Schizosaccharomyces pombe: one gene and its partners. The gene in region 4 interacts genetically with the main gene of each other region. Each region holds a gene or a part of one and is shown on either strand. Other genes may lie near its edges.

Evidence for each region.
Region 1: mutations in dbl8 (region 4) and psk1 together harm fitness less than expected from each alone (positive genetic interaction), as found in Schizosaccharomyces pombe (one large-scale study listed by BioGRID).
Region 2: mutations in dbl8 (region 4) and tcg1 together harm fitness less than expected from each alone (positive genetic interaction), as found in Schizosaccharomyces pombe (one large-scale study listed by BioGRID).
Region 3: mutations in dbl8 (region 4) and cho1 together harm fitness less than expected from each alone (positive genetic interaction), as found in Schizosaccharomyces pombe (one large-scale study listed by BioGRID).

The regions. Positions count from the first base shown.
Region 1 is NC_003421.2:455,749-463,094, reverse strand, and holds psk1 (serine/threonine protein kinase S6K family Psk1), read left to right. Parts: upstream 1-3,599; 5' UTR 3,600-3,684; coding exon 3,685-4,995; 3' UTR 4,996-5,386; downstream 5,387-7,346. Other genes in the region: Holliday junction resolvase subunit Mus81, read right to left, coding at 1-111, 280-375; mrpl4 (mitochondrial 54S ribosomal protein uL29m), read right to left, coding at 710-1,144; PHD finger domain-containing protein Phf1, read right to left, coding at 1,593-2,978; GTPase-activating protein Gyp3, read right to left, coding at 5,885-7,346.
Region 2 is NC_003423.3:212,324-219,788, forward strand, and holds tcg1 (single-stranded telomeric-binding protein Tgc1), read left to right. Parts: upstream 1-2,775; 5' UTR 2,776-2,820; coding exon 2,821-3,032; intron 3,033-3,198; exon of another isoform or gene 3,199-3,282; coding exon 3,283-3,484; exon of another isoform or gene 3,485-3,537; coding exon 3,538-4,173; 3' UTR 4,174-4,578; downstream 4,579-7,465. Other genes in the region: mef2 (mitochondrial translation elongation factor G), read left to right, coding at 52-168, 252-2,576; ergothioneine biosynthesis methyltransferase Egt2, read right to left, coding at 4,678-5,856; DNA replication factor A subunit Ssb1, read right to left, coding at 7,039-7,465. UniProt on the Schizosaccharomyces pombe protein: Binds single-stranded telomeric sequences of the type (TG[1-3])n in vitro. Has a role in meiosis.
Region 3 is NC_003423.3:1,054,932-1,061,633, forward strand, and holds cho1 (putative phosphatidyl-N-methylethanolamine N-methyltransferase), read left to right. Parts: upstream 1-3,432; 5' UTR 3,433-3,490; coding exon 3,491-4,020; exon of another isoform or gene 4,021-4,037; intron 4,038-4,075; coding exon 4,076-4,136; 3' UTR 4,137-4,195; downstream 4,196-6,702. Other genes in the region: DNA-directed RNA polymerase II complex subunit Rpb4, read left to right, coding at 731-782, 821-926, 972-1,049, 1,124-1,295; ubiquinone biosynthesis protein Coq7, read right to left, coding at 1,694-2,344; pre-rRNA processing protein Esf1, read right to left, coding at 4,591-6,639. UniProt on the Schizosaccharomyces pombe protein: Catalyzes the second two steps of the methylation pathway of phosphatidylcholine biosynthesis, the SAM-dependent methylation of phosphatidylmonomethylethanolamine (PMME) to phosphatidyldimethylethanolamine (PDME) and of PDME to phosphatidylcholine (PC).
Region 4 is NC_003423.3:2,555,928-2,567,403, reverse strand, and holds dbl8 (ATP-dependent RNA helicase Dbl8), read left to right. Parts: upstream 1-4,234; 5' UTR 4,235-4,276; coding exon 4,277-10,111; 3' UTR 10,112-10,254; downstream 10,255-11,476. Other genes in the region: oxidative stress transcription coactivator/ribosome recycling protein Oxs1, read right to left, coding at 239-328, 437-970; guanyl-nucleotide exchange factor Muk1, read left to right, coding at 2,222-2,607, 2,656-3,478; tri1 (CAF1 family ribonuclease), read left to right, coding at 10,457-11,476.

The DNA of each region.
Region 1 (7,346 bases), on a different chromosome or scaffold from region 4:
GTTCCATTTCTTTTCTAGCTTGGCACAAATCGTAGGGCCAATTCCCTTCAGTGCCAATGCCTGAGAAGGACGATGAAATGTGATGGGGCAACTTTTCATTGAATCGTAGGCCTAATTATTAGCACGGTTTCTTATTTAAAACAACAACAACAGTGATTGTTATGATATTTATGGAGTACGAAGCTATAAAAGCTTTCGAAAAATTACAGTCATTATTAATTTAATATTTAAATTATTTATTTTTCAAAGAGTTTTTCACTAATCCAATAAATTTCCTACCTTTCTCCAGGTTTGATATGACTTGGGGAAGCGACGCGTCGACTCTTCCATCCACTCCTGTATCCATTGTAAAAACAGCGGATTTCCACAATCCATGGATCCGAAAAACAAAGAAAAAAACTATTTCATTCAAATTATCGATTGTCACACGAAACAAAAGTCTAAACAAATGGATGTGGATAGAATGCGATTTCCTAAATTTCGTGTAAAGACATTAGCATGGTTGCCGGGACAACCGAGATTTTATGATCAGTATAAACAAAATAAAGAAAACAATTATAGGTGAACAAAATAAAAAATCATTATCATCATTATAAAACAGTTTCTCGTGTATTAGGGTATATTTTTAGAAAGTTTGTGAAATGATGAAGCTTTAGATCATAATAAAGCCATACTTGGATGATTTTCTGTTTTCCTAAAAGGAAGGGGTTTAAGAAGATCCCTTTTGTTTCTCGAGCTGCTTGGCAGAAGTATATGCTCTTTGGCGTTCCCATAGGACAAATTTGATAGCTGCCATGGTTTTATTGACTGCAAGTACACGCTCATTTGAGGCTTTGGGAATAGTCAACTGTAAGCGTTTCATTTCAGCCCTTTGTGTGAACAATAGGTTCTTCTCTCGGAGACAATTGTACCAAAGTCCATGTAGATCATTAAAAGACTTCCAACGAAGCTCTTCTGCAGCCCATGCTCTACCGAATTTAGCCTCTTCCGATGGTGGTGGAAGGGCTTGCTTGTCCCGAAAGAAATTCCACAAAGGGTGCGTGTCTGAAACCTTAGGAGCACTTTTTACTTTTGGAACAGGAAATACAAAGCCCTTTGGAATACGTACGGCTGCTTTCTGAGCGCTAGCCAACGTGGACCTCATCTTTGGTGGTAAGTAGAAGGTGCGCTGTAACACCCTGACATTGACCGATAATAATGGTTGTAAGTCATACTTTAAAAATAATTATTTTTTATTATACTTCATTGACTTTCTTAATTATTGCTAAATTGAGAAATTGTTCATTTCCTTATTTTATTTTATTTTAAGATTTCATGGCGAGGAAACATTCCAAACGAAAAGTTTATAATGTAAACAGAAAGTGTGTAGGGCGATTTATGTATTTTCCCTAGATTTGTTATCGAGTGAAAAGTTTGAATCCATGAAGGAAATACTAAAGTACTTTGATTTGCAGCTAATACATGGTGTAATGATACATTGCTTTCGACCGCTTATAAATTTATTTCGAGATTAACGGGACGCAACCGTTTAATTAAAAACGGGAAGTAAAGAAATTTTTTTTGTCTATACATTTAGAAAAATTTGTTCAGTTTCATAAAACAGTAGCACATAAATTTTGAGGATCATCGGTGGGGAAAGAGACAGGCACCAATTTAGGTACCTTACGGTTTCGTTGAAAAGTAGGAAGTAAAGAGGGTTGGAGGTGAGGGTATTCTTCGACTGTTGCTATTTGATAGATGCTACCGGAACGGACCAGTTGACCTTTATTTACCATCCAACGAATGGCCTCGGAAGCGCTGTCGTGAAAAGTTGGTAACAATGGTACGTTTTGAGCAAGCCAGTTAAATATTTCATCTTTGGAAGGTGAGAGGGTGTTACGAATAGCTAACCGTATTAACGTTGGATAGTCGTATAAGGTTCCAGAATTCGCAACATAACTTGCGGTATAGGGGACAGGTGCAGGCTCATCAGAGGGAGCTTCATCTTGTTTAGCATGAAGTCGCTCTTGTAAAGATATTTGTTGGCGTTCAGAACTAACAAGTAGTTGATGCCGAATCTCACCCAACAACTCCCGAGTACGTGGGTTGTATATGGGAAGAGATGGATAAGACTTTTCACAAAAAAGAATAAGATCTGCGAGATGAGGAGTAGGTAAACTTGATAGATACATTTTTTTGTCTGATTCACTTAACCCAAGATCTTGTGCCGTCATTCCCGTTTCTAAAGGTTGCTTGGCACGCCTGTACTGGCATTTCATACAAAACCATTCAGCATCCACATCCTGAACGGTTGCATCGTCAATCGGAGGGTGATGGCAAAGCTGATGATATGGAGAATTGCATCCATCACAAAATACGATTCGATTAGATAAAGGAGAATGTCCTCGTTGACAGACGCTACACAAGGTGACCATATCGACCTTGCGACTTTTCCGTTTCAATGCGGTGGCATTAGGATTGTATGCGACTGGCCGCTGAATCTTTCTACCCGATTTTGTTTTCATTCCTTCCACGTGAAAGTCTTCCTGTAAATCATCCTCGGCACCTTCTGCAACATCGAGATCGTAAAATGGTATACGATTATCGTCTTCCCGACGAGACGATCGAATGCGTCCATTCTTAGTCTTGGTTGATGCAGACTTGGGCAAGCGATTGAATGATACAGACAAAGAAGGATCTTGCTCCGGTGGTACTGAAGTAGCGCCTGAAGAGGAAGATGCAGGCATAGTCATACCGCCATACGGTGTCTGTACATGCTGCTGCAGTTGATGGAAATCAGCGCCAAATGGTCCAACATCGGAAATTCCAGAACCCGATGCGACAGGGGAAGCATCAAAATTCGAGCTGTCCGTTTCTCTAACTACACCTTGAGCCGATACCTGAGGAAGGGATGAATCAGCACCATTTTCAAAATGGAAACCGGCATAGTCATTTACACCATAGCTCTTTCCTTCGTCGAAAAAATTCTTTTGAGACATTGTAAAAAACGAGGACTAATAAATATGAGTAATTTGGAAAATTTTGATTTAAAACGAAATGCACAATTAGATGAAACTAGCAAACATGAAACGCAAATTAAAATGATGATACACGCAATTGTCACGCAGTGAATGTTAATTCAAAATATCTGAGACCATAGAATAACTTTATGTAAAAAGTAAATCTTCCTAAATCTCAATTCATTGATGTAAATTCGCCATTCAACGAAAGATGAGTTTAACACGCGCGTCTCAAGAAGAAGGTATGCATAGGCCATATAAAACTGGCATCGTTTTACAGAGCCAGCCTTACATTACGGTAACAACATAAGCAACAAGACATTTTCATTCGTTAAAATGCACAAAGCACATCGTATAAGACACGTTAATCATCACTAATCTAGCTTCTCGGCATAAAAAAATTTTAAAGTAAAACGCACAATAGCCTATGTAAGCGGTCCAATAAGTAGTAAGTTGATAACTTTAATTAGTAAAGAGGGCGAATCAAAAGCTTTATATATATCTAAACTTTACTAAATTGGCCAATCAGCAATGCGTTTTGAATCAACAAAATGAGGTATGACAAAGAGAATTTCTTGCTCTACATCCCGGCAGTCTTTTGTTCGTCTACCAAACAACAAGGAAAAGGCATTTTGGGCATACATATGCCAAACTTGTGATCCTTCACAGTACAAATTGCTCAAAGATGCCTGTCTTTATGTTTGATGAGCACGACAATTTGAATGAGAATTACAATTCCCATTTGTCTAGTGACGATGAGATTGCAGAGGAGGGATATGATTTTGAAGAATTGGAGGCATCTGCGTCGACAATCACTTCGTCAAGTGATTTGAAGGATGGAAAGAATGCCAAAGATGAAAAGGGGACGGTAGAGTTTAAGGTTGCTGCCCATGGTGATTTTATTTCTTCCAAGGGTGACAACTATGTACCAAGCGGAAAGATGCGTCCAGCAGACTTTCAACCCTTAACGGTATTGGGTCGTGGCTCTTACGGAAAGGTGCTCCTAGTGAAGCAAAAAAATACTGGACGACTGTTTGCTCAGAAACAGCTAAAGAAAGCTAGCATTGTTCTTCGTGCCAAGGGCCTCGAACAAACCAAAAATGAGCGACAGATATTAGAAGAGGTTCGACATCCGTTCATTTGTCGCCTTTATTATGCTTTTCAAGACCACGATCGTCTTTATCTGATATTGCAATATGCACCTGGAGGAGAGTTATTTTCTCATTTGGCCGAGCAAAGGATGCTTCCTGAGGATGTGGTTGCTTTTTATACTGCTGAATTGACTCTAGCATTGATACATTTACATAAACTTGGTATTGTGTATCGGGACTTAAAGCCAGAGAATTGTCTTTTGGATGCTGAAGGCCATATCCTTCTTACAGACTTTGGATTGTCAAAGGTGGCTGAAAATGGAGCTGATTGTCGTTCTTTTGTAGGCACTGAGGAATATTGTGCTCCAGAAATTTTGTTGGAGCAGCCATATGATCATGCCGTCGATTGGTGGTCTATGGGTATCCTCATATTCGATCTTCTTACAGGATCTCCCCCCTTCACCGCCAACAATCATAAGAGAATTATGGAAAAAATCACTCGTGCAAAGCCTAACATACCTTTTTATGTGACTTCTGATGCTAGAGACATTATCAACAAATTTCTCAAGAAAAATCCAAAGCAACGCCTCGGCGCAGATGGTCCCGAGAAAGGTTACGATGCAATAAAAAAGCACAGAATTTATCGCCGAATTGATTGGAATAAGTTAGAGAAGCGCATGCTGCCTCCCCCAATTGTTCCTTGCATCACCAATCCTGAGGCTGCGGAGAATTTTTCAGTCGAGTTTACCAAATTGCCTCTTTCTACAACACCCATTCTTCATGAAGAATTTGGGAATTTAACAATTGGTAGCCATTCCTCTGCTTTTCAAGGCTTTACCTATGTTGCGTCTCCCAATTTTCTCAACTGTGAATTTTTATCTAACAACGCAGTTTCGAACCATTAAATAGGTTTCGCTAAAGCATCATTTACTAAGTGCTTTTTTATTTTATGTGTGAAAAGGATATTTTATTTTAAACAAACTGATTATTCTCACTATATCATAACTCCTTTCATCCTTTAGGGACTCATAATACTTGAAGAAACTCCATTAATTAATCGTTTTCTATCGAACATCGATCCTTAAGATTCTAAGATTTTAATTATAATTACTGTTAATTCTTTCATTAGTTGCTTCTTTACTTAATCCCTTTTCACTAACCATATTATTATTACACAATAGAAAACTTTAATTTTATATATATTTATATACATACTTTACAAAACATCGGTCAGCTTAGTGTTTTCTTTAATATATCAATTGTTCATACTTTATATTAACATTAAAAACAATTTCCTGTTGAAACGAATTAGCAACAAATGATTTATAAAAATACAGACTGAGGGCTAACTACAAAAAATGATAAAACAGTGATCTTATAATGCTATGTTAATAATATCAAGCATGCCGACATTAGTGACTCGATTCCCAGTGTCAACGGGAGATAAAATCGATTGTTATGCAAACAAGAAAGAGGCAATTATACAAAAGAGACATATAAATAGATCGATTTGCAAAAATAATGGCATATGCCCGAATAAAACGAGTGTATAGTGGAGTCAATGACTACCTAAAATAATAATCTGCTGAACAAATAAGTGATGGAACGACGTTCATACAAACATTTCAAAATTAATAGAATAAGGGCTGTTCAATGTAGCAATGTAAAAAAATAATAAAAATCTGAACCAATCAACCAAATTCTTAACGAACAAGGGCATTCATAAAATTAGTAACGAGAGTAAAGGTTTGACAGGTTTGACAATGGGCAAACTCAATTGGTAAACAGACATAACTAAGTAGACTTCTTCAAGTGATTATGAAGCTGAGATATTATATGCGACTTGCTGAATCGTGATGATGAACGACTAAGGTGATGTTTCGAAGAATCACTCATTTCAAGCTTTGAAGCAGAAGAGTTACGCTTTTTTGCAACCTTTTCTCTTCGACGCTCTATATCCTTTTGGGAGGGAGTGCGCCTAAAATTCCTTCGGAAACACAAGGAGAGAAATGCATTAGCGTCAAGTAACGATTTGGGTAAATCTTGAATCACCTGAAATACCTCTGTCTGCTCACTTTTCGACTTTATATCATCTTCACCAAGTCTTAAAATACACAATGCCGTCATAAACAAAACTTTGCTGCCTTCATAGAAAAAACAATCCCATACACGAAGAGCAGTCTCCGTAGGTAAAATGCCAACAAAGGCACTCATAAACCAGGCAGCAGTTACGAGAGTAATGGGAGGAAGCTTTGCCACAATATCATTGACGGGTATACCATCAAAATTAAGACTGATGCGGCTCCAAACCGCTGGTAAGCTTTCTCGAACGGATGCCATCAAAACACTTTGGTCGATGTTAGCACCTTCTAAATTGGCATCATGCATCTTTGGTAAATATTTACGACACGTAATTACGAGCATCCAAAACGCCTTTTCTTCACTCATAAAAAGCAGGAAGAAACCAGCAAGAAAATTCAAGCTTTGACAGTAACCATTTTCAGGTAAGTATGTTGCAAAAGTCATTAGAACACGACGCAGTTTTGAAATCATTGGAACATCAGGCTCCTCTGATGAATGCTCTGATGCGTCGGATGAGTTCCTAGAATGCTTGGATTTATGTCGAAAATGTACATTGTCTGGAAAGGTACGATATAGATCACGTTCAATAAGGTCAGAATCTGAGGGCTTTTTTATGCACGCACAACGCCATAGAGTCTCGTACAGTTTAGGGTTTCTCTGAAGTAATTCGTAACCACCGCTGTAATAAAACCAGGCATTGCCACGATACTCGGGTGGTATTCCTTTGCGAATAAATCGTTGAGTTTTAGCACTGCGGCTAGGAAAAATACTAGGAGATTGGTGTATATAGTCTATACCGTTTTCTTGAAGGAAAAGCTTCCATCGCTGTTCGCGACGCTCCAGGTAGCGGCTGTAAGGGCCATACCATGTGTTGTATTGGTCAACGGTATAAAACTGGTTGGCTTTTTTGAAACCATATATATCCCAGCTTGAATGGGAGGGCTTGTACTTTTTGGGTCCTCGGAGCTTTTTGGTGAGAGGACCTTCTTCATAAGTGACGTCGCAATTAAGGGAGTTGGTTTTGAAAGGAAGGCTTGGATCTGTTTGGGATGAACGCTTTTCACTCTGGGTTTCGTTGGTAATAGTGGCAGCGGTGACGGCGGAAAATTTGGAGGAGGACGTTTCAGTACTAAGGCATGATTCACGCTTCGAAAGTTCAGTAGAAGTAGATAAG
Region 2 (7,465 bases), 2.3 Mb from region 4:
AAGCTTTTGCTCCGGAATTCTTTTAGACTAAGAAGCTTGCTCCTTAACCTCATGCTTCGGATTGTATGGAAGCCATTAAAAATTCGGTTACCAGTATGGAGACGATATCAATCAAATATATCAATAAATTCTATTAGAAATGTGGGCATCATCGCTCACATTGATGCTGTAAGTATTTCCTACTTTATGGAACTGTTTGAGTACCTTGACCATAAGATTATTTACAACAGAAATTTCTAACTTTTTAATAGGGAAAAACTACTTTGACAGAAAAGATGCTATATTACGGAGGTTTTACTAGCCACTTTGGCAATGTTGATACAGGAGATACGGTTATGGATTATTTGCCTGCAGAACGCCAGCGCGGAATTACTATTAACTCTGCCGCAATTAGCTTCACTTGGAGAAATCAAAGAATCAATTTAATTGATACCCCTGGCCATGCTGATTTTACCTTTGAAGTTGAACGGTCAGTAGCAGTATTAGACGGTGCTGTAGCCATTATAGATGGTAGTGCTGGTGTTGAAGCCCAAACGAAAGTTGTATGGAAACAAGCTACCAAACGCGGCATTCCAAAGGTTATTTTTGTCAATAAAATGGATCGTGTAGGTTCTAGCTTGGGTAGCACCATTCGTTCTATATACACCAATTTAGACTGTCCATATCCCCTTGTACTTCAATTGCCAGTATATTCAGATGGATTACAAGAAAGGAAGTTTTTAGGCATTTTGGATATTTTGCAGCAGAAAATGATTTTGTGGGATACATCTGACAACAAGTTAGGAACAGATGGTACACATGTTCAGGAGCTTCCAATTCCGGAATCACACATGGAGAGATTTATAGAAGCGAGAAATGCATTAGTCATGAGCCTTTGCGATGTTGACGAAACATTATGCGATGAATACCTTGAGAATGAGGATTCACTCGCTTTCACTAATGACCGTTTATTTAAAATTATCAAACAGAAAACAATTTCTGGCAATGTAGTTCCAGTTTTATGCGGATCTTCTCTTAAAAATATAGCCGTTCAGCCCATCATGGATGCGATCATTGATTATCTTCCTAGTCCTGTAGAATTTTATGAAAAAAATGCTTCAAAAGAAACGAGTAGTGACAAAATAATCTCCCTGGATAAACGTCCTTTGCTTGCAAAGATTTTCAAGGTTATACATCATGCTTCTAGGGGAATTCTCACATATGTCAGAGTCAATGAAGGGACTTTAAGCCGAGGAATGATGATGTTTAATCCAAGAACTAAAAAGTCAGAAAGAGCAATTCGTTTATACAATGTATTCGCTGACCAGACTCAAGAAGTTGATTGCATTTCCGCTGGAAACATAGGAGTGATTAGTGGGATTAAACAATTTCATACCGGAGATATCATTATTAATAAAGAGAACTCAAAAAATTTTCATGAGTACCTTTCTGGAAATCAAAGTGTTATCAGTATTCCTGAACCTGTTTGCATTGCTTCTATAGAACCTTATTCGCTAAAAGATGAACCCGCACTTTTAGAAGCATTGGCTAACATGAATCGTGAAGATCCTTCATTTAGATATACCCAAGATTTAGAGAATGGACAACTATTGATACAAGGGATGGGCATTATGCATTTACAAGTTTCTTATGAAAGACTGGTGTCTGAATTTGGAGCTCGAGCATCTTTAGGAAAAGTTCAAGTTGGTTATCGTGAAACTTTGATTGATGTAAGCTTTAATTCAGTTACCTTAAGCACAGAAAATAAAGAGAATCTCATTATTAATGTTTACTTAATCCCTATTTCTGATGAAGGAGATGAAACCTTGAAAAAATATTTTTCTGAAGGTGAGATCCAAAAAGTTCGAAGTAAAGGGCAAGAAGATGGAGTTTTGTTTTATGGCTGGAAGCCGGAAAACTCGTGTACTTTACCGGATCATCTCTCTTTCCAACGTATTCAAGAAAACATCTACTTTGGAATAGTTGCAGGTCTATCGCATGGGCCTTTACATGGGTTTCCTCTCACGAATTTGCAGTCATTTTGTACCATTTCTTCTTTTCTATCTAATGACTTTCCGTTGTCACTTTTGACACAAGCATCGATGAAAGCTACCAAAAATGCAGTATTTTCATTATACAAGAGAAGTCCCAAAAGTTTCAGAATATTAGAACCTTATATGGATGTTACAATTACAACTCCTGAAGAATATGTTGGTATTGTTTCTAAAGATCTTGTAGGCAAGCGGGGAGCCACGATCAAAGAAATTACAGAGATTGGAAAGAATGCTGCTTCGAAAGACTCGCAGATAGCGATAGGAATATTAGGTGAAAGATATCTACCAGCTGATGAACCTAGTTCTGTTAAAGCAAACAATGCTTCTTCTCTACTACAGAGTTCATCTGTCATTAAATGTATTCGTGCTCAGGTGCCTTTGGAGCAGATTCTCGACTACAACAGTGTTATAAGCTCTTTAACAAAAGGTAATGCAAAATTTCTTATGTCTCATCCTATGGAATCTCAAACTCCCAAGCTGGTCAATTACGGTTCTTCCTTTCATCCTATGTCTATGCAGAGACAAAAACGAATATTTCCTTAAGGTCAGAAATGTGGGTTAATGGGTAAAATAAATACATAGAAAAAAAGATATAATTCTATTTTTCTATAAAAATCATCCTTATCATTAAAAAGCTGTATGTTTGACATTCTTTTTCTATACGTTTCGGTGTATGCATACACACACGTCTGCAACGGAGTTGTGTACATGTTGTCCCCAACGTCAGATGGAACCTACCGTTAGCATATATCGACTATAATTACTACAAAACGCCTAGACGAATTTAATGATGTCCGCTGAGGAAACTGTAACCCAAAACGCTCCTAATACTGTTCAAGATCAAGTTGAAGCATCTGTAGATGCTGCTGTACATGCATCTGCAGAACAATCTAACACACCTGCTCAACAAGCGGACGACTTTCGTGTTTTTGTAGGGCGTTTAAGTACGTCTACCAAAAAGAGTGAAATCCGTTCATTGTTTGAAACGGTTGGTACTGTGTATGTAAACTATTACTGGTTTTAGCAATTTCGAGTTAGAACAAAATTTTCTTATGTTTAAGCGCTAAAGCTAAAGCTCTCTCTATTAAAATCAGTGCATAATTTGGAGTTGTTGAAAATTTACTTTTTAGAAGTCATACTTTATATTTTTCACAAAAACGATTTTAAAACGGAGCTATGCGAGCTTATATTTACTCGAAACTATCTGTGCTACTTTAATTATATTTGATCATCTACTAATGCTTTTTAGTCGTAAAGTAACTATTCCTTTTCGTCGTGTTCGCCGTGGTACCCGTCTCGTACCTTCTGGCATTGCTTTTGTTACATTCAACAATCAGGAGGATGTTGACAAAGCTATAGAGACATTGAATGGTAAAACATTGGATGATCGCGAGATTGTTGTTCAAAAAGCTCGTCCTGTCCAAGAGCAACCTATAAAAGATAGGAAAAAGGTAAGTATACTTTAGTTCGCAAAGCTTTTATCAATATCATTCTGACACATTAGTCAAAAAATAAAAATGGTGAAGAACCTGAAACTTCAACTTCTGTCGAAAATGCTGAATCTGCTAAGGGCTCCAGTGATGAAAATGAAGCTAATACCGCAACAGCTCCTTCAAGTAATGAAGCAAATGGTGTCGATAAGAAACAAAATGAGATCAAAGGAAAGGGTGGGTCTGGTAAAAACAAGGCTAAGCCTTTGCCTCCCAACTCTATTTATGTTTCAGGCCTCTCCGTTACTTTAACAAATGAAGGCCTTAAAGAAATGTTCGATGCTTACAATCCTACTCGTGCTCGTATTGCTGTTCGTTCCCTTCCTCCTTATATTATTCGCCGTATAAAATTACGTGGTGAGCAACGTCGTGGTCGTGGTTTTGGATTTGTGTCTTTTGCTAATGCTGAGGATCAATCCAGAGCTATTGAGGAAATGAATGGAAAGCAAGTAGGTGACCTTACTTTGGTTGTTAAAAGTGCTGTCTTCCGTGAAGATAAGCAAAATGATGAAAATGAAAAAAATGAAAACGAACCTATTGAGGCTTCAGAATCTGCTCCCACTAACGTGTCTGATTCTACTGAGCCCAAAGCATCTGAGGTTGACTCAGAAGAAAAATCAGGCGTTACTGCTAGTGCTATAACTGCCTAAAAGTTAAAATATGATTTGTGATTATTCCTGGCTCTTCGTTCCTTTTATAATGAGCCTCGCCATTATACTTATATATGTCCCGAATACCCTCATGTTTCCGCACGTCACGTTCTCTCCCTTAGCATGGAACCCATGCATGTTCCTGGTAAAAAGTTGCAGCTTTGTAGACTAGACTATATTCATTGCTTGGAGTTCTGTGCCTTATATATTTTCCGTTTGTATCAAAAATACATTCGGGCCTATTGTTAAAAATAGTTTTGCATCTTTGTACATTTGAAACGTTAAAGTGCTTCAAGTAAAAATATACATTTTCTTCCAAAATTGTGAACGTTGTAATAATTGATTCACGCAAAATATAAGTAACTAGTTAAACGAATGTTATAGGCTTCTTAAGATTTAGAATCTATTGTGCTGCAATGTCTAAAACACAGGTGAGTATTAAATAACTTAAGTGCTTTGAGTCACATAAAAAGAGTCAGAGGATGCATTGTGAAGCATAGTTATTCAAAGAGAGCAGAAGTCTTTAATAACTTTAGCAATATAATAGAAATCTGATTCTTCTAAATACACCGCACCGCTAAGTCTAGTGTAAAATTTTCCTTTAAATTCCATAAATCGAAGGAATGTATTATATTTAGGCCAAAATACTTTCTGTGTTTCTATGGAGGGAATGTTGCGTAAGGGAACTTCGACGTTTACCATTGCAACTGGGTATGGAGGTTTGATAAAGGAAGTGCCCAGTTCTTTAGAAATAATTTCGGCTCCCTTTAAAGCTATTTCATGACAATATTGTTGAATCTTTTCTTCCCCTCCAATGGATTTTCGAAACTTAATAGCCTCACCAACAGCTATAAACTTAGGTAAATCTTGCTTGAAAGAATTGACAAACCGATTGGTAAGAGTATCTACGGCAATTGATTCCTTTTCTCTTAATCCATAACCGTATGAGAGAGGAAGTGCTTCGATGAGATTGTGATTTTTAGCTGAGACATAGAGTACAGTGCATGCAGCTGGTGAGTTTAACCATTTATGAGCATTGGTAAACAAAAAATCAGGATCAACATTAGCCAAATTCATAGGAATATGACCTATGGCATGAGCACCATCAATAATGCTAACAATATTATACTTTTTACAAAGCTTTACGACTTTTTCCCAAGGAAACAAGATAACGGGCATAGAACTTAAAATATCACAGATAAATGCTCTCGGCTTGGACTGCAAAAAACGCTGTTCTACTTCTTTAAGGAATAGATCTTCATCAATTTCCACCCCAACATCGATAACGTCTAATCGTAAATTATGCTGATTCTTTGCAAAATCAGCGGCATATGTACAAGTAGGATAGGCAACATTTAGCATCAATATCTCATCATTCTGTTCCCACGGAAATGTCAACAAAACCGTACTAATCCCATCTGTAGCGGAATTGCAAAAAACTATATTACTTGAATCCGCGCCTATCAGCTTGGCAACTTCATTTCGAGTAGCCTCCATGTACATCGGCATATAGGCATTGCACATAAAATCTGGCTTGCTCTGAGCTTCCTTTAAAAGTTGGACATGTTTATTGTAAACAGCAAGAGATTCTGTTCCACAACTTCCGTTATTTACATTCACGTAATCGGGATCAAGCATAAAATGCTTTTTCATTTCATGGCCGTAGACGTTGTTTTCAGCCATTTATAAAATTAAATCACAGTGAATTTCGGAACTCCCAATTTGTAGTTAAGTAGACAGTCTAACTTTGTATGTTTCCGTTTTGGATTACAATAATTGAATAATAATGACGATAGTTTGCTTGCTATAAAATGTCACAATGGCTTATTAACAAAATAGTGTATCGTCAGGCTAAAGGAAACCGTTGGCGGTTAGGTGCTAATGAAATGATTAATATTAGCGGATAACGGAATTAATATACTATCAAAAAACAGACGATCTTTGAAATTATAAAGATTTCTATCATAATGATAACAATAATTTTACAAGAAAGATACTTATAATCTACGTTTTTTGGAGATACGATAAGACTGATCTGATCTACAAAAGATCATGGCTTCAGAACTTTTTTCGAACATATCCGTTACTCTATCATTTCTTTAGCATCCCCATTGACTTTACAAAAACTAAAACCAGCGCTTAATCTTTTTTAAATCTCTCGTTGTCAAGGTTTTACTGAAGGTTGTTGCGAGACGGATTAAATAGTTTACTCCATTCCATTTAGAATGTGGGGAGCTAATTAAGGATCTTTAAAGATAAATTTGTACGATTTAATCAAAGAAATGTTGTATTTTAAGATTTTGTATGTAATTAACAAAATTTGTCGCAAAACAGTCTTTTTGCTCAGTTATATTATTATTACTCAATTAAAGAATGTAACCTGCTGTTATTGGTATCTAAATCGCTTCCTTATTAAAGTTGTTTATTTATAAAGTAAATTTAAAAAAATCATGGTTCATATTCCTGTTAAAATAGGATTGCATTTTCGTAGACTCGTATTTACTTCAAAACAATCTGGTAATTTATTTCTTCAACAGTTTCAATTCTAAAACAATTGATAAGTTTACTGTATATTTTACTTCATATTAAAAGATATCATTGCATTCTTTTAGCGGTGATTTCAATCAAGCCATTATAGCGTAAATTACCCATCAAGGAACTTTAATATGTAAGCAACAGAACTAATTACTCCAAAAATTCAGATCATATATAATTACTTTAAATCTAGTTAAATGTAAGTGAAGTACCAAATCATAAGGAAAGGAGTCACTTTGTAATCAATGTATGCAAAATCATAAATCGTAGTTTTCGCGATTTAAGCCAAAAACTCAATTACTCGACCAGCGAGACGTAAAACACAATGTTTTATTGAGCAGACTCAATGAAATTTATCAATCTTTTAGACTCTTCCTTCCAGTCCATTTGATTAATTGACATCACTGTATAGCGTACTCGCATTTCACCTTTAAAATTGTCTTGCTTAGCACGACATTGAAAGATATATGGCATATAGCAAGCTTCTGCCATACAATTCATAAAGGCATTTTCGTCGTTTTCTTGTAGATCATTCAATTCGTCTGCCGTTTTATGCATGATTAATTTACCGACGTCGTCAAAGACGTTGAGCCAGAGTTGTCCCGTATGATCACCTACAGCAATAGTTATAATATAACGGTATTGAGGAGCATCATATTCTTTATTACATTTCTCACATCGCCAGGAGCCACCTTGATCAAAAACCTTTTTGTTGCAATCAGCAGCAGGGCAAGCAGGATATGACACGTTTTTCTTT
Region 3 (6,702 bases), 1.5 Mb from region 4:
AGTGGTACAACGACATGCACTTCAGTCGATTACATCGTAAAGTTACGAAGTCTGTTTTCCTTAACCTACATATTAAAAATCAAATTCAAAGTCAAATTGTGAGAATTAAAATTAAAATAAAAATAAATTTACAAATTTATAAAAAACAAACATATAAATCAAGAACGAATGGTTCATCTCAGAATTAAGCACAGTAAAAATAGAAATAACCCCTTTAAAAGAATGTAACGTATTTTCAAATGAATATAACGAAATTAGTAGAAGAATCCTCATATCTGAGGTTTTTAAGGCGCATTAACGTTTAGCTATACGAAGTCTCTAAAGCAAAGACTTGAGAATAATTTTAATAGAAAGCTCTTTGGTTTTAACGAGAAAATACTCCAAAACCCTGGCGTCGTTAAGCTAGACAAATGATTAAGAAATATCAATAAAATAAATTTTTCTTAGACATCTCCGTACATCTCGGTAAATTCATAATGTTATTAAGAACAATCGTTATTTAGTTTTAAGATAAATATAAAATATCGTTATTATTAGCAGCGGCTATAGAAATGCTGCAATCAAGGACGCGATTTTTAGACACGAAGCAACAGCAAGAAAGCTGGTTGTTGTGCATAAAGAGCATTCTGACATTATTTTTGGGAATACATTTGTATAATAGTTATTGATTTAATTAGATAAAAAGAAAAAACAACATTCTGAAGAGAGTGTTTGCGAGCATCTATTCATAATGCCGAGGGCTATTTTTGAGGAAGATGCTGCACAATTAAAACTTGGTCCAGGTTGGATTTGAATTTTATTCTGTTGCTAATATAAAAAGAGTTTGAGAATGAGGATATGTTGACGGTTTCAGAGGCCAAAATCCTTATTGAAACAGTTCTGGCACAACGAGCACGCGAAACTAATGGTGAGATTCCAATGACTGAGTATGTCTTATTGTATGCATATTCTTTTTTAATTAACTAGGATAGTGTGATGAAAAAAACAGTAGCTTACTTCAATGTTTTTGCTCGGTTTAAAACGGCTGAAGCCACTTATGCATGTGAAAGGTACATAATTTCAAAGAATTGAATAGAATTTTAGAGGAAAATAGCCGTATGCAAATATTTGACTAACCTCATAGAATTCTTGGTAATCGATTCCATAAATTTGAACGTGCACAATTGGGAACACTCTGCTGCGAAGACGCTGAAGAGGCTAGGACCTTGATTCCTAGTCTCGCGAATAAAATTGATGACCAAAATCTTCAAGGCATCTTGGATGAGCTTTCCACTTTGCGTAAATTTCAAGATTAATGCAATAAATAGATCTCAGGCAAGTCTGTTTATTGTCAATTATGAAAACTTAAAAGGTTTCCGGTCTTATAAACTATTAGCTATATCAGGATTTATAATACGACGTTTTTGTCATTATTATTCCATAATTTATGAGGGGTCATAAAACTTTTTTTAACAAAATCTATGTTTTTTTATGCACCATACACTTCTTAATTAGTCTATTAAAAAAATATAATACAAACACTGAATACACGCGAAAAGGAATTTAGATAAAATGTATTAATTAGATTAAGTAAGTTTTAACAAGGATCATACTATTGTGAAGCAAGAAAAACTAAACATTTTGAATCAAATGGGCGTTCTTTGCTTCATAAAGGACTAGCAAGTTGAGTTTGAGGCAGGAAAACTTGAAGTATTTAAAATCGTTTACACATCCAGATAGCCGCTTTGCAACCCATTTGAATGGCATTGGTAAGCAATGCATGAGCTGGAGCTTCCTTTGCGTTCCAACCTTCGACTGCAGTGTTCAAATGCTCTAGCTCGTCATCTCGAAACTCTGCCAAATGGCTACGAATCTCTTTAAATTCTGGAGCTTTATTTTCCAAATGAGCCGTTTCACGTAGTTGGTCGTTATAGTGTCCGCCAATTACCGTTTCTACTGCCTCTGTACAAGCCATAGCTGCTTTGGTTCCAAGCAAAGCAGTTCCTGCTCCCAACGCAAATCCAGCGATGTCCCAGAAAGGACGTAAAAAGGTAGGACGGACTCTATTCTTTAAGACATAATTATCAAATGTTGCGAGATGGTACTTTTCTTGATCCCACATATGCTGAATGGTAGGTGCGACTTTGGGATCGGTAAATTGAAGGATAAAGTGCTGACCTTTGTAAATTTGATTAGCGCCTAATTCACCTGCTTGATCGACACGAATGACGCTGTCCAAAATATTTGAGTCTTTCTCGCTCAGTTCTTTACGGCCCATCGAAATTCTACGGCATGTTATAGAGGAGCGAAGAAAAGGAGAAACCGACTTGGTAGCAATGGGTATTAACTGTCTACGTGACAACATCTTTTGTAATGGTAAAAAGGCCTGAAATTACACAGAGTTATCAATTTTCAAAACGAAATTTTACTAATCAACAATAAACCAATATTTCTAATTCACTAATAGATTGAAATATTCGACGAAAGAGACTATGATGTTGATTGGGTGTGGAGGATTAGAATGTGAAGTTCTCTACCAAACCGAACGTTTTAGGCGGAAATGCTTAGTTGAGTAACACGTTAGGCTTGAGGTGTATTTCATATCAATCTCTGAACAAATCTGCAAAATTCAAGCTAGATGGTTAAGTTAAGAAGGAATTAAATTTAAGTGATTTGATGTTCACTCTATTTTTATGGAATAAAATATTCGATAAACTTGTCGTTTATTCTTTTGCTTGATTAACGCAGTGAATACCAGTTGCTTCAACTTTATTTTTAAGTCAAAATGAAAAATACATACTTAGTTTTTAAACTAAGAGATTCAATAAACAGTGGCGTAATTTCAGGAAAGAAGCAATGTATCATTTTTTTCCTTAGCTAAATGGCTTTGCTACAGTTTCATAGTGTTCGTCAATCTTGACGGATATAGAAGTTCAATAATAAAATGCTTCTTATAAACAATAAAAAAAAAAAACATATTTAAGCTGCAGTTTTAAAGTAAACTCCAATTTCCTATCTTTTTTCCAACCAATTCAACTCAACATTGTATTTTCGCTTAAAAAACTTTAAATTAATTACTAGTTCAACCGAAGGGGAATCCGAAGATATACAAATTTCCAGTATTACTGATATAACAAGTACAAGTAGAGACTCAAAGACACCCCATCACAATTAATTTTTGACTTGCTTAATAATTCAAGAATGTAATTTGGCATTATGGATTAATTTTCTTTGTTATAGAAAAAAAGCTCCAGAACCACACCCACCTCCCCCATCGAAAATTTACAATTTGAAATATGCGAAATCAATCATTTCTTTCCTTTTTCTAATTTAATCTTTTAAACACAAATGAGTACTTATGTTTTTCAGGCCTTCTCTCATTATTTTATAAAATAGCAATATCGTTAAATTCCGTTGTATCAAAGACGTCGTTTGAATGAGCTTGATTCTTTACCCCAAACCAACTTCGTATTTATATCAACCTTTTATAAAAGCATATTTTTCGCTAAACATGGCCATTTTTGAAATCAATAATTCTTTTTTAATTTGTGCTGTATCTATTGCTTTGAACCCTCTGCTATGGAATATTGCTGCACGTTCAGAATACAATCATAAGACTTTGACCAAATTGGCAAATGGCGACTCTAAGAAGGCCTGTTACATGCTAGCAGCTTGTATTTTTGTTGCCGGAATAGTTCGTGACTTAATTTATCAGAATGCTTTAAAACAACAACCTACGCTAGGTATCTTCATGAACCCTCTTGTGCAGGGTATAGCTAAGCTCATTTTTTGTTTTGGCAGCGTCCTTGTCTTATCGAGTATGTATAAGCTAGGACTTGTTGGTACATATCTTGGTGATTACTTTGGATTTCTGCTTCCAGAGCGTGTTTCTGGTTTCCCATTTAATGTCAACGATAACCCAATGTACAACGGTTCTACTCTTTGTTTCCTTTCTACAGCTCTGCGTTATGGAAAAGTTGCTGGCCTCCTTTTAACTTTGGAAGTCTTTTTCGTTTATAGAATAGCTTTGAAATTTGAAGAGTAAGTTGCCAACTGTTTAAATTTTTAAATTTTTCTTTACTCTAACCATTAATAGACCTTTTACTGCTAAAATTTACGCTGCTCGTGATAGCAAGCAAGCTAAAAAATCCGAGTGAAGCAGCTGATTTGAAGTGGCCATAAGTTAAAGCTTCATTAGAGTTTTTTATAAAAAAAAAAAAAAAAGGAACAATTTTAAATGGAATGTTCTGTTCATGACTAGTCCTTACCTTTACTAACGCTCCTCCTTTAACCGATTTTGCCCTATGTACTTTGACGACTTCAACGTCTGTATAATTATGCATAGTTTAACGCTTTTTTTTTCAAATTATTTAAGTGTGTTGATCGCGGTCTCAACACCATGATCCGATATTTTTATATTCATACTTATGTAAAAAATAATCTAATATTTTACACCATGTAAATTAACGTGCTTTCATTCTAAAATCAAATAAAATTCAAAACAAATATATTAGCAAACCAAAAAAACCCCGTTTTGACCAATTTATATGTACAAAATCAAACTCTATAAATCCAATCGTTCAAGAGGAAAAACAGAGTACAATTTCTAATTTATTTTCCAGAACGTTTAATAGATTTGACAATGCGATCAAGTTCTTGACGTTGATCTCCTTTTTCAGCTTTACGCTTTTTGATTTTAAGCTCAGGCTTACCGTCTTGTGTTTGTTCCAATTGATTTGAGCGTCTTTTACGACTTTCGTCCATAATTTTTTCCACCGTTTTAGTACGTTTGAAATGAGGATTTGTTGGATCAAGTGCAAAATTATGGTTAGTATATAGAGCAGCAAAACGTGGGTCACTGACATCAGCTTCGAATCCTTCCTGCAAGCCTTCCAAATTGGAGGCTTTTTTCTTAAGCTTGCGATTCTTCTTAAACTTTTCAGCCTTCAGTATACTCTTCATGTCAAAATGATCGAGCTGCTCAGAATCGTTTTCATCTTCACGAACAAGGTTTTCCAGTTCTTCTTTAGACGCGGCCGTAGGATCTTCAATTTGAGTATGCTTGCCCTTTTTGTTTTTCTTATTGTTACGACTAGCATCCTTGTCCTTAAAGAATGGATCATCAAAACCAAGATCAACGTCGGATCCTTCACCTTCATCGTCTTTTGTTTTCTTAAGCTGTCTCAATTCTTTCCGTCTTTGTTTTCTTTCAGCGGCCTTACGCTTGTATTTTTCAATAGTGGTTTCATCTTTTTCCGAAGAGTTCGCATTGTTATCAACATCAAAACCTGAAGTAAAAGTAACCTCCATCTCACCATTGGCGCCTTCAAGTTTGTCATCATCCTCAAAAGGGTTACTATTCGCTTGGAAGTCATCAGCATCACCACTTAATAACTTTTGGTAACGAGAACGAATAACATCTACATCCTCATCTTCAGATTCACTTGAGGCAATGTAAGCGCTAAAGTCTAAATCTTCAATATCCTGAGAAGTAAAAGCCTTTTTAATTAAATCCTTTCTGTGTGGATCCTCAGCATCCCACGAAAGTTTAACTTTTGAATGTTGCAATGCATCGGTGACAAAATCTCTCGGCTCATATTTTTCGGGCGCTTTAGTACATACTTCGCGAGATTCATCGTCGTCAAATGTAACATCATCTGGAATGAATCTTAAATCGTAAATATTAGCGCTAGTTTCATACTCAGCGCCATCACAAGTTTCGTATATAACCTTTGCCGTTCTTACACTATCACATTCCACTACTGCGTAATAGTAACGAAGCCTTTCTAATTGATACTGGCGTAATTTTACCATATCAAACTCGTTGCCTAAATCCTCCTCTATTAAAGCATCTTCCTCATCTTGATCAGACTCATTGTTATCAAAACCAAATTTTTGAGCCTCATGCAATTCGGCGCTAGAAGGTTGATTGTCAGCTGGAGTAAATATATCACGTGGAGGACCCTGAACATGTTCCGCAGCCATTCTGGATTTTCCAAATTCACTGGGATAAATCGACACTTTCAGTAACTTCCCACCAGGAGGACAAAAAGAAGAAAGAGCAACAAAAAGATCAACTGCTTGAAGATTATCCCAATCCATGTTTACTACAGCAAGACGGTTAGTTTCTGAACCACGAGGAATATTCTCTTCTGGCTCGATTCCAGCTAATTCGGATATCTCCGGTTGAGCTTCAGTTTCACTTTCAGCGTCGCTTTCATCGCTACTTTCCGAAGTACTAATAATTCCCTCACCACGAGCTGGATCATATACTTCCTCATCTTCGGACTCCTCATCGGTTAATTCTTCCGATTTTGTGGATTTCGAAGACGCTGAAGCGACTTCTTCGTTGTCAGTAATTTCCGATGATTCAGACGAACTGGACGACCCTTCATTTTCCAGTTCATACAGTCTATCAATCTCTTTAGTAGCCTTATCTTGGTTGAGAGGACGGCCATATCGATCAACACTGGCAGTAGTTTTAAAGTCCTTATCCTCCTTGAGAGATTTAAACCGCTCATCAACTTTTACTTTAAAATTGCCACGTTTAAGTCTAGAAAATCTAGGATCAGAGTGAACTGATTGAAATCTAGGATCCGCAACTACGTTGCTTTCACTCCTTGATTTAGCATTAATAGGCTTCGTCTGCTTTTTGCCCATGACTACTTCCAATATACAAGGCTTTGACTAAATATGAAGTTCAACTTTCAAATTATGTGTTGT
Region 4 (11,476 bases):
TTAGTATACGCTCCACTCATTCTTGTGCTAATAGAAATTCAAAGTTAGCTGTAAATTTTGATTTACCGGTGTATCACCAAATCACTTTGTACTTCTCATGTTTAATTTAAGATTTCATTTTTGAATGTCGAGAAAAATTATTTAGTAATTGGTTTATTGATAATTTATAAATAATATAAAAGAATTACCATAGTAAAAAGGAAAAAGAAAAGTTCTAAACATATTGCCATAACTATAGTTACTCGCGTAAACGTGCTTCCAATTCTGCTTTACGAGCTTTACGAAGCTGTTCAACCTCATCTTGACTAGTGTTATAGCTCACATTCATCTGAAATTGTTAGTAAAAATGATATTTACAATGGTTTTCCTGTTTAGGGTTTATACATGATATGGTCATCATCAAAAAGAGTATGCATGTACCCTTATCGCTTCTTACCTTATTGAAAGGATTGTCCGGATGTTTCTGAAATTCTTTATACATTATGTCTTCATATTGGTTTAAACGGAGGCCCGGTTGTTCTTTGCGTAGTTCAGGCAAACGAGATTGTTTGTATTCTGTCAAAGCTGCTTTAAACCGACGTTCAGGATGACGATCAATTTTATCTTTGGACGATGAATTGTTTAAACTTAACAAATCCAAAGCATCATCAATATTGCGGGCACTATATGAAGCTGTCTGAGGGGTTTCGTTGAGGAAAGCGTCTAAAGATGAATTCTTCTTTGCAGCCTTCTTTGACCCCTTTCCTCCTTTAGATGGAAGACTCTCCATTTCTTCTTTTTCTAAACGTTCACGTTCAGCTTTCCTCTCCAACGCAGCTTTTCGTTTTTCAGCTTCTTGCTCCTTTTTATTAGTTTTGACGCCCTTGGACCATTTTTCGTCTTCTTCAGCGTCTTTTTTTTTCTTTTCCTCGTCTTGTTTTCTAGATTTTGCCGCTTCGGCCTTTTCTGCTCTCTTTTTTGGATTCCCCATATCAAGGCTATTAATGGTATGTGAGATTTGAATGACTTGAACAACAGGTGATTTCTATATGCCGCCTCGTTATAAGAAAGGCGACGAAGGATGGATTAATAATCTGATCTGATAATTTTTATAAGTGAATGTCTCGTTATATCTCCCTATTTTTATCAGTGTATTTACAAAGGTGTATTGATAACACTGAACAAACGGCGTCAAACGTTGGTATGTAACTGAATTTTTATCACTAAAATAGAAAATAAAAGTTCTTAATTGGAAATCTGCTACTATTTATTTCCTTAAATGCCTTGATGCAGGCTAAGGGTATATTGAATGGTATAGACACTGCATAATACACCATAAATCCTTTTTATGACATGATGGCATTCTTAACAGTGATAACTCATTAAAAAGAGAAACAAAGTCAACCGATGTAAATTGATCATACTCTTCAATTACAATATTATATCATGACAATTGTTATGGACTTCGATGTGTATTTCATGAAGTTTGAAAAAGTAAAATATATCATCAAATTAAATGCTTATTCTTGCCAAATTATTCAACAATATCGTACAGTGAACAATTGCTTTCAAGTATTGATTAGTTTATTGTAATCTATATAAGTATTAAACTTCATCTTCGATACAAATAACGTACAAACTAACATTCCGATCATCTTAATTGTTAAAGGAATTAATGAATCTATAATTCTAAATTATTTTTTTTAGCACTTAAATTTACTCATCCTATTATTTACATTTACAGTATACGGTTTCTTAACGAGTATACGCTATTATTATGCCGAAACATGAATGCATATCAATTTTGGTTCTACCAGCACTGTTCCTCTATTTTGAAGGGTTTATAAGTTAAAGTCAAGTAAGCATTACCTCTGATTATTATTTCATTTTATATCAAGTTCTTAATCAACGTTCTTATTTTTTTAATTCGTGTCTCTATATTTTGACAATTACTTGAAAACTTGTCATACGACAAAGGTAAAGAAGGAATTGCTAGCATTTATAGCTTTAAAACGATGTATATTTTCTATTAGGGATATATTGTTATATTTTTGACTCTCAACGAATACTTCGTACTCGGTTCCTTCGATTGCTGTTTATCCTATCTGATATAAATTTGAAAATTTGAATTAGACCCTATGCTAACATATTCTTAGTTACATGTATATATAGAATTTTTTTTCGTTTAATTTTATTTTTGAAAATTAAACTTTTTGATCACCTTTCGTAAAAGTTCCTTTCGATGAGCTTTCTGAATTCTTGGAGAGCTGTTAAATATACAAATAAGCCTAAGGAAGAAGACATCAAACTCCCAAATTCTGCATCAAATCTTCCAACTACTGTACAAGCATGTGTGATACAGTTTATCTCTTCTCTAGTTAGTCCGGTTCACCCTCAATTGCTTTCGCCTGAAGAACTAGCAAAAGCATTTCAAAACTTTTACAAGCATACCGATGAGTTTATTGCTTCAACCCTTATCCCTCAACCCTCTTCAAAAGATCAAAATGTGCCTCTTTTGTTTCCTGAGGAAATAGATGCTCAGAAAAAGGCGAGACAACACTTGCTGAACCAAAAAGATGAATGGATGGACCAAATTGAAGATATAGTTTGCGAATATTTGTATGATCGGTATGTGATTACTTCGCCTACAATAACTGTTTACTAATATTGTGTTAGGATTTTCTGTTTATCTACAAGTACGGATGCTGCCAAAGATGACTTGTTAAAAAAATTTATTGCTTCTGAAGAAAAGAAAGAACTTATCAATTGCATTCCAATACCTGATGATGAAAAACTTACAAACCGGTTACATGAAGTCTCTGAAGCATTTTTTGCTCTCGATGAGCAACACACACCTAGATCGAAAATAAACACTTTTATGACCGTTAATTCAAGTATATTGAATGCCTCTCAACTTCCTCAAGAAGAATTGAATGCTGATTCTTTATTAAATTTGACCATATATTGCATTCTCTGTTATCCCGGATTTCATTTAATATCGCACCTGAATTTTGTGTTACGCTTTCGAAATGCAGATTTTTTAAGCGGAGAGCAAAGATACTGTCTCACAACTTTTGAGGCAGCCCTTACTTTTATTCTTCGAGCTTGTCCAAATCTTTTAACTCAATCGTCAATTCAACCCTCTGATGATCCTCTTTCACTTGAGGTAGCTAATAGCGAAACAGTTTCGACCTCTAACTCGCTTCATGATCCGAGTGCAGAACCCTACCCTGTGAATCGCTCATCTTTATCTAATTTAAGAAATCTGGGACTAGCACTTGAGAAATCTTATGCCTCTCTACTTAGTAAAGTAGCCAATCACACTGCCAAAAGTTCAGAAGATTCTTCCAATTCTGTAGAATTCGTGGGCGACCCACCTTTGGAACGCTTTTTGACTGTTTCTGATGCTAGCGATCTTAAAATCGGTGAAATTGAACTTCTTCTTTCTGACTATAAGCGCCTCGCACGTTTGCTTTTTGAGAAAAATGGTAATCAGTAATTTTGACTGAATATTTTCTTTAAAAATTTCACATCCAGTTGGTTTTCGGCTTTGTTTATGGTTATTTGATTCATTTGAGAGACAAAGTCATATAGAAAAGTTATATGATTGATCAATATTTTTTTTTTCTTTGTTGCAGGTCAATTCGTGAACAGCTTAAAAGTTTAAAAGAAAATTTTTATTCAAAACAAGGATTGATTATTCCTTGACGTCTATTTTATTAATGTATGAATATCACAAAGAACTAGCAAAAATGATTTAAGCTTGTATGTTGACGCAAAGATTGCATGCGAATTAAATCCTTACAAAGGAAATATATGAAACGAATATATCATGTTACTGCAAAATTTTTAAATATACTGAATAAAATGAACTGTGATTCTTTGCTCAGTGAAGAAAATAGTCATATTTGAAACTAGGAATTAAACACACAATCACAAACTTCGGATTATAATGGGTAAGAAAGTTTTTTAAGTTGTCACATTATATATAGTAATGTTTAAAATATATTTCGGATAATCATATATATCTTAATTACAATAAAGAAGCGTGATTTTGGTACATGAATTTATATACACTTTCAAAATATACGTTCATTTTTTTATTTAAAATTTCTCTTAAGGCTATTTTATTTCAATGCGATAATCGAGTGCTGTGTGGACATCAAATGATTGGTTGCACTAAATGTTTATAGTGAATAGTGTAATTTACTTCCTTAGAAACCTAGATTTTGAAAAATTGCAGTCGCGCTTTAATAAGTCTACTTCGAGAGTGAGAATGCAGCATTAGCTTGTGGTTATGGAAAATGACGAGGCTTTTGATAGATTAATAAGAAAAATTCAGGAAAATCAAAAACACCCATCTTTCGAAGGGTCCAATAAAGTTTTGCATTTGGCGCTTTCATACCTAAATACTAACAGACAAAACCCTCATTGGGTTTGTGATCCTAAATTACAAGTAGCAGTTCGTGAATGTCTTTTTCTATTTTCTTTTCAAAATGATAACGAGTATCTGGTATGGTTCAAAAAACATTTGAACGAACGCCTTCAGTTATGCCCCAAATGTATAGTTAAATATCACCAATCTTTAGATGATTTCAAAAGTCTATGTTTAAACATTTTTCACTTTGACCCAAATACTCTTGAGATTGTAATGGAGAAAATTTATAGTTGGGACATTTTTCGGTTACAGGAAGTTCTCAAAACAGTGCCTAAAATCGACACGTCCTCGGCCTCTAAACCTATACTATGCGCCTTCTACGAAATCTTATACTCTCCTCGTATTTTACATAATAAAGAAATCTTTCCCTTGTTCCGAAACAGATTTCTTGAGTCCGGTTTTCTTCGGCTCTCGAAAAACCTAGTGCCAGGTGTCATAAGTCTTCTCTTCTCGAGAGATGATGAGCTCCGAAGATGGGCTTGCAGTATTTTAAGTGATGTAAAAACAATCTCCGATAATGAATTTAAAATCCTTGAGGGTCCCCTTCTTCAGGAAATTCGTTCTTTAGACCAGAAGAAAGAAAATGAGAACGAGATGCAAATTTTTCTGAAAGGTTTATCGTTGCTGTTAAAGCATGTTGATCATCTTTATTTTAGGGGACTTACAGGAAAAAATTTCAATGTCGCCGATTTTATTCTTTCGGGATTGCAAAGCGACCATACTAATTTATGTCCGTCTTTCCTTGTATGTTTACATTCTTTGTTATACTGCTATGGACGTAATTTTTGGACGCCAGAAATTTCTCCCAGTGAAGTAATAGATAAAATTTTTAATGGTAATGCTTATAAGAGGTGGACAGAAGAAAATACATCCAATTTTTCAAACGACCAAAAGGCAGAGAATCCGTTTGAATGGGCTACCTCTCTTTTGAAGACAATTTCAATCATTGATGAAGTTGAATTAATTAACAAAATTTTGATTAATTACACCATGCAATATAAAAAGGAACTGGAAGTCGGTTTCAAAAATGTTCAGTTACTTCAATCACTTGCTGACATATTTTCAGTTTTGTTTTCCGAATATTTTATGATTTTCCCCCATAGTGATCAAAGTTTACAAAACAAAGTATTTGAATTACATTCCACTTTAGCGATTAAGTTTGACGAGCTGTTTCGTTTGCTAAACTTGGAAAATGAAGAGTCTGTTGAATGGAGGCTTATTAAGAAAGTTTTTGAATACCGATTGAATTTAGATCTTTATATTTTGAAGCAATTCTATTGCCATTATTTGGACAGAAATAGAAAGCCACCCTTGAATATCAAATCGGTAAGTGAGTCTTTTAAAAATTTTTGGGTATATTTGCAAAACGTATTTCGAGAGGAGAAGTTCTTTATGGTTCGTATTGTTTTTCGTGCTTGCTCTACAGTTTGCTTGATTGATAAGTTGCCGCCTAAGAAAGTTGACATTCCGTTCAAAAGTGATTTCGAAAATGCACTAAACGGATTTGTTGCAACATTTTCTGAAATGCTTATTCAGACTCAATGTTGGCATTTGTCGGCACAAACCCAATTGGTTTCAAATCCTTTAACTTTTCGTGGAATCTTTTCACTCGTTTTTTCTCCAATTCTTGAGATCTCAACAGGAAGTATCTCAATTATTAAATCTATTTCGCTTTCTGACAGCGTTGTTGATACTATAGGAGAGCTATTGAGAAGCCAGTTTTCAAATACACTAAATTCTTCATGTTATGTTCTTCTGCAGTGGCTTAAAGTCAGAAACTTTGGAGGAGCCAAGCACATTGTTTATTTTAATAAATTAATTATAAACACTATTTTTGACTCTGTTGATGGCTTAACTTCTAAGGATGCGACTTTTGCAAAACAAGTGGAAAAGAAAGAATCCCTTAAGAATTTCTGGGAATCGTTATGGAAATTCTTTACTCATTTTTTCATTGTTCTTCCTACTTGGCCAGTTCATGATAAGGACAATTTAGTTGATTTAATGCGGGATACCCTTGATTTTTGCGATATGCTCATTAATATTTTTGAGGAAGTTAACGGATTCATTTTTGGATTATCGGATAACGATATTAAAATTGTTTCGGCTAATGATAAGGGCAGTGCTTTAGCTATGTGTATAGCTGATTCTTTGGTTACTGTATCTTATTGGCTTAAGTTAACTGATTCTTCACTTCTAACATCCGTTGTGAAAGTGATTTGTAAAATGCTTAAAATTTGTAAAAAGTTGGAGTGTCCAATTAGTCAAAATGTGATTGATATTATCCATAGGGCATCAATTACCAGTGATGAACAAACAATTCTTACATTCACTGAGAGAGAGGATCTTTTTATATCGCTCACACCATACCTTTCAGAAGACGTTCTTAATCACTCTCCTTTCAATGATACCAATACGCTTGAAACTAAGTTACAGAGTGATGATCGGGGTTTGCTTTCTAAAGACCAGACTATTGGGATTGCGAAAAAATTACCTGAGTCAAACATTAGTACTTCAAATCATTTTTTGCTTCCTCCGAAGGCTATTTCTGCTTCTAAAGCCATCAATAGAAATGCTCAAAAATCTCAAAATTTAAATTTTTTGAAATCTAAACAAGAGACAACACAGCGAATTCGCGAATCCGCGAAAGTTCCAAGAACCAGTGCGGGGAACCATCTTTCTGAGAAACTTAATTCGGATAATCATATACCAAAAGCTTTGCAAAAGCTCGATTCTGCTGACCCAATTCGCAAGCCTTCACTTTTGCACACTTCTAAAAGTTATTCTAATCCAGATGACAAAAATACTTCAACTTCCGATGAAGATACCTCGGAGTCCGAAGAAGAGTCTAGTAACGGTCTATTCTCGCTTGCACGTGAAGCTAATTCTCATGCCTCTAAATCTCTTCCACAAAGAAGGCAGATTCAGTTCTTGGACTTTGATTCCCTTAAAACAAAAAATGTAGTTCATCCTACTCAATTGCGCCGTAATACTCAACAAAGTGCACAACTTGCTCGACTCCGGCTAAACCCTGATGTTCAAGAGTTTTACAAAGTAATTTTGGGTTGGAACCCATTAGCTGATTCTTTTTCGGCGTCTAATGTTGAGATGCAGTGCGTCCAAGCTAAATTCACGTATAATGATTCAAACGCTTATGAGAAAGTTTTCAAACCAATGTTGTTTCATGAATGTTGGGCTCAAGTGAAAAGTGCCGTTGAAGAAAAGCAATACCCTCCCATAGATTTAATCCTCAACACCCGCAGTACAGTTGATAACTTTGTCGATATTTACTTTACGTCCTGTTCACCTACCGAAGTCTCTTTTTTAAGTGATACAGATATTTGCTTACTGTCAAAATCACAAAGTTCGGGCGATACTAATAACCCAAAATCTTTTCAGTTGTGCAAAATTCAATCCATTTCTCGTAAAAAAGAATCACTTGAACTCTGTCTGCGGATGAATATTGAATCAATTGATCTACAGGAGTATGCACCGAACATTAGGTTCACAGCACAAAAATTATTTAATGCTACTACTAGCTTACGTGAATTTGCTGCTTTAAAATCTCTTCGCCATTTACCATTGTCTCAGAGAATTCTGGATGCCAATGTAACGCGTCTACCTTCAAATTTTACAGATGACAAAAAGCAAAAAATAATGAAGTCTTATGGTGTAAATGAACCCCAGGCATATGCGATTTATGCATCTTCTGTAAATGATGGTTTTACGCTCATTCAAGGGCCTCCTGGAACTGGAAAAACTAAAACCATTCTAGGCATGATTGGAGCTGTACTTACTTCTTCTAGTCAAGGGTTGCAATTTAATGTCCCAGGACAGACGCGAAAAACCTCAAAGAATAAGATTTTAATATGCGCTCCTAGTAATGCAGCCATAGATGAAATTCTCCTTCGTATCAAAGCCGGTGTTTACGATCATGAGGGTATCAAATTTTTTCCAAAAGTTATTCGTGTTGGATTTGGTGACTCCATAAGCGTTCACGCTAAAGAATTTACTTTGGAAGAGCAAATGATAAAGCAAATGGAACTTACGAACCTAAAGAAAGATCAAGAAGCAAACAATTCCAGTGATACTCGGAAAAAATATGACTCAATTATTAAAAAAAGGGACTCTTTACGCGAAGATCTAGAAAAGTTTCGTAGTACTGGAAAAAATAGTTCAATATTGGAAGCACAGCTTCGTGAGATTACCAAACAGAAAAACATGCTTGAACAGAGCCTTGATGATATGAGAGAACGTCAACGCTCAACTAATCGTAATCTGGATGTTTTGAAAAAACAAATACAAAATCAACTACTTCAGGAAGCTGATATTGTATGTGCTACCTTATCTGCGAGTGGTCATGAACTACTTTTAAATGCGGGTTTGACTTTTCGAACTGTCATAATTGATGAAGCTGCACAAGCCGTTGAATTAAGTTCAATCATACCTCTTAAGTATGGCTGTGAGAGCTGTGTAATGGTTGGTGATCCGAATCAGCTTCCTCCTACTGTGCTATCAAAAACCTCTGCAAAGTTTGGATATTCACAATCTCTATATGTCAGAATGTTCAAACAGCATAATGAGAGCGCTTGTCTTCTTAGCATACAGTATAGAATGAATCCTGAAATTAGCCGATTTCCCAGCAAGTTTTTCTATAATTCAAAACTACTTGACGGTCCCAATATGTCAGCAGTGACATCTCGACCTTGGCACGAGGATCCGCAGCTAGGTATTTATCGATTTTTTAATGTTCACGGGACGGAAGCTTTTTCCAACTCAAAGTCTCTGTACAATGTGGAAGAGGCTTCGTTTATTTTATTATTATATGAGAGGCTAATTCAATGTTATCTAAACATTGATTTTGAGGGGAAAATTGGAGTTGTTACCCCTTATAGAAGTCAAGTACAACAGCTTCGATCACAATTTCAAAGAAAGTATGGTTCCATTATATTCAAGCATCTTGATATTCATACCGTCGATGGGTTTCAGGGACAGGAAAAGGACATTATAATTTTTTCTTGCGTTAGGAGTTCGATGAGCGGTGGAATCGGTTTCCTTCAAGATCTTCGTCGGCTTAATGTAGCTTTAACAAGAGCTAAATCATCTTTGTATATCGTAGGCAATTCTAAACCGCTAATGCAAGAGGATATTTTTTATAGCTTGATTGAAGACGCAAAAACTCGTGGTGTTTGGAGAGACTTGAGTGCTAATCAATTTAAGAACTCAAAAAGTATATCAAACGTTTCGACACACCTCGCATCTAACAATTTAAATTTAGCCTCACGGGATACCCCAATTAAGTCGCCGTCGGTTGGTATCTGTGAGGAAAAACAAGAAGCACATAAAGTCAAAAAACGGCACAATATAGATAGTGCTAATTTGTCAAGAGGAACTGAGAGAGATGAAGATATACCGAATAAGCGCGCTAAGAACAAAGTTTCCACTGATCAGACTGCTGCTGATAATAAGGTCACGAAACCACGCCTTGATGAATCATCCAGTTCCAAGCAAGATGTGTTAAACAAAATAGACGAATCTGAAATTGAACAAGCGTCTTCCAAAAAGCCGGGTTATGTGGAAAAAAATAAAGATAAAGGCCATATGAAAAAATCAAAAAAGCCCAAATCGAAACTTGCTCTGGCGGCGATGGCCCACGGTTTTGCACCTCCAAAAGTTGAGCATTTCAAAAGGAAGTAGCCGATTTAGGTTTTAGTATGAGTATTTTACAGTATTACTTTTTTAATAACACGAGTAGCGGGACGTTTTCAATCATTTGAATCTTAGACATAGTTTATTTATTAATATTTCTCCTATCTAAAAATGATTTTGCTTACAACAACACTATATTAATTTTTACTCAATGGTATATATAAACAGGACAAATGCACCAGTATATTCTATATGTTTGTGTTAGGATTATATCAAACTTGTATTAGCTCATACTCACAATTTCATTATTAATTAGCTTCCAAAATATGCTATAAATTAGCATATTATCAGTGCATGTTCAATTGAGTTCTACAAAATACATTGAATCTATAGATGGAGATACATGGCAAAAACTTTTTAGAGACATTAAAAGAATTGGAGAAACACGTAGATTCAGCACACTATGTTTCCATTGATTGTGAATTTTCCGGATTATTAAGAGACTTCAACCTTAACAACAAAAATACTTTACAAGACAGATATGAGTTACTGAGAAAAAGTAGTATACGATACACAATTTTACAAATTGGTATAACCTTTATTTATTTGCAAAACAATGGAAAATCTTCGTGTATTCCCGTAAATATTAACGTAAGTCCTCTAGTTAAAGATGAATTGCACCTTAAGAGAGACTTCTGCTCGGAGGCTAGCAGTATTAAGTTTCTGATACAACAAGGTTTTGATTTTAATAAACAACTGACAGAGGGTGTACCATACTTATCACGGATTGAAGAAAGAAATTTGATCGACAAGGTTAATGAAAGATCAACTGACGACTTGACCAGCTCAATTTTAGATGCTTGCGATGAAGAAATTCTTGTTGACGCAAGAAATCAAATTAAGAATTGGTTATCGAGCGAGTTGTCACATTCCACTTCAAAATACTTGAACATTACTACCTCTAATCGTTTTATAAGAAAAGCAATACAATCCCTGGTTAAAATTGAATTTCCAACTTTAAAGAGTTACCCCAAAAGAACATTTCTGCAGGTTCGGAAGGCTATTGAAAATTCGACAACTCAATGCTCTGCCACTTCAAAAAGCGAACTCAAAGAAGATATTGCGAGCGACCAATTAATACTTAACAATCTAAATTTGATCAAACAGAATGTTGGGTTGCGACATTTATGGGACTATATACTTAAGAAAAAAAAGTCAGTAGTTTGTCACAATGGCATGGCAGATTTGGTGTATTTGTTTTCCCTTTTTGAAGGAAAAGTCCCGGAAACGATATTAGAGTTTTCTGAGCTTTGTTTATCATCTTTCAAATCTATATATGACACTAAACTTCTCTACTTGAAATCCGATGATCTTCAACATGTATCAGATGGGATACCAACGGACTTACTTTCC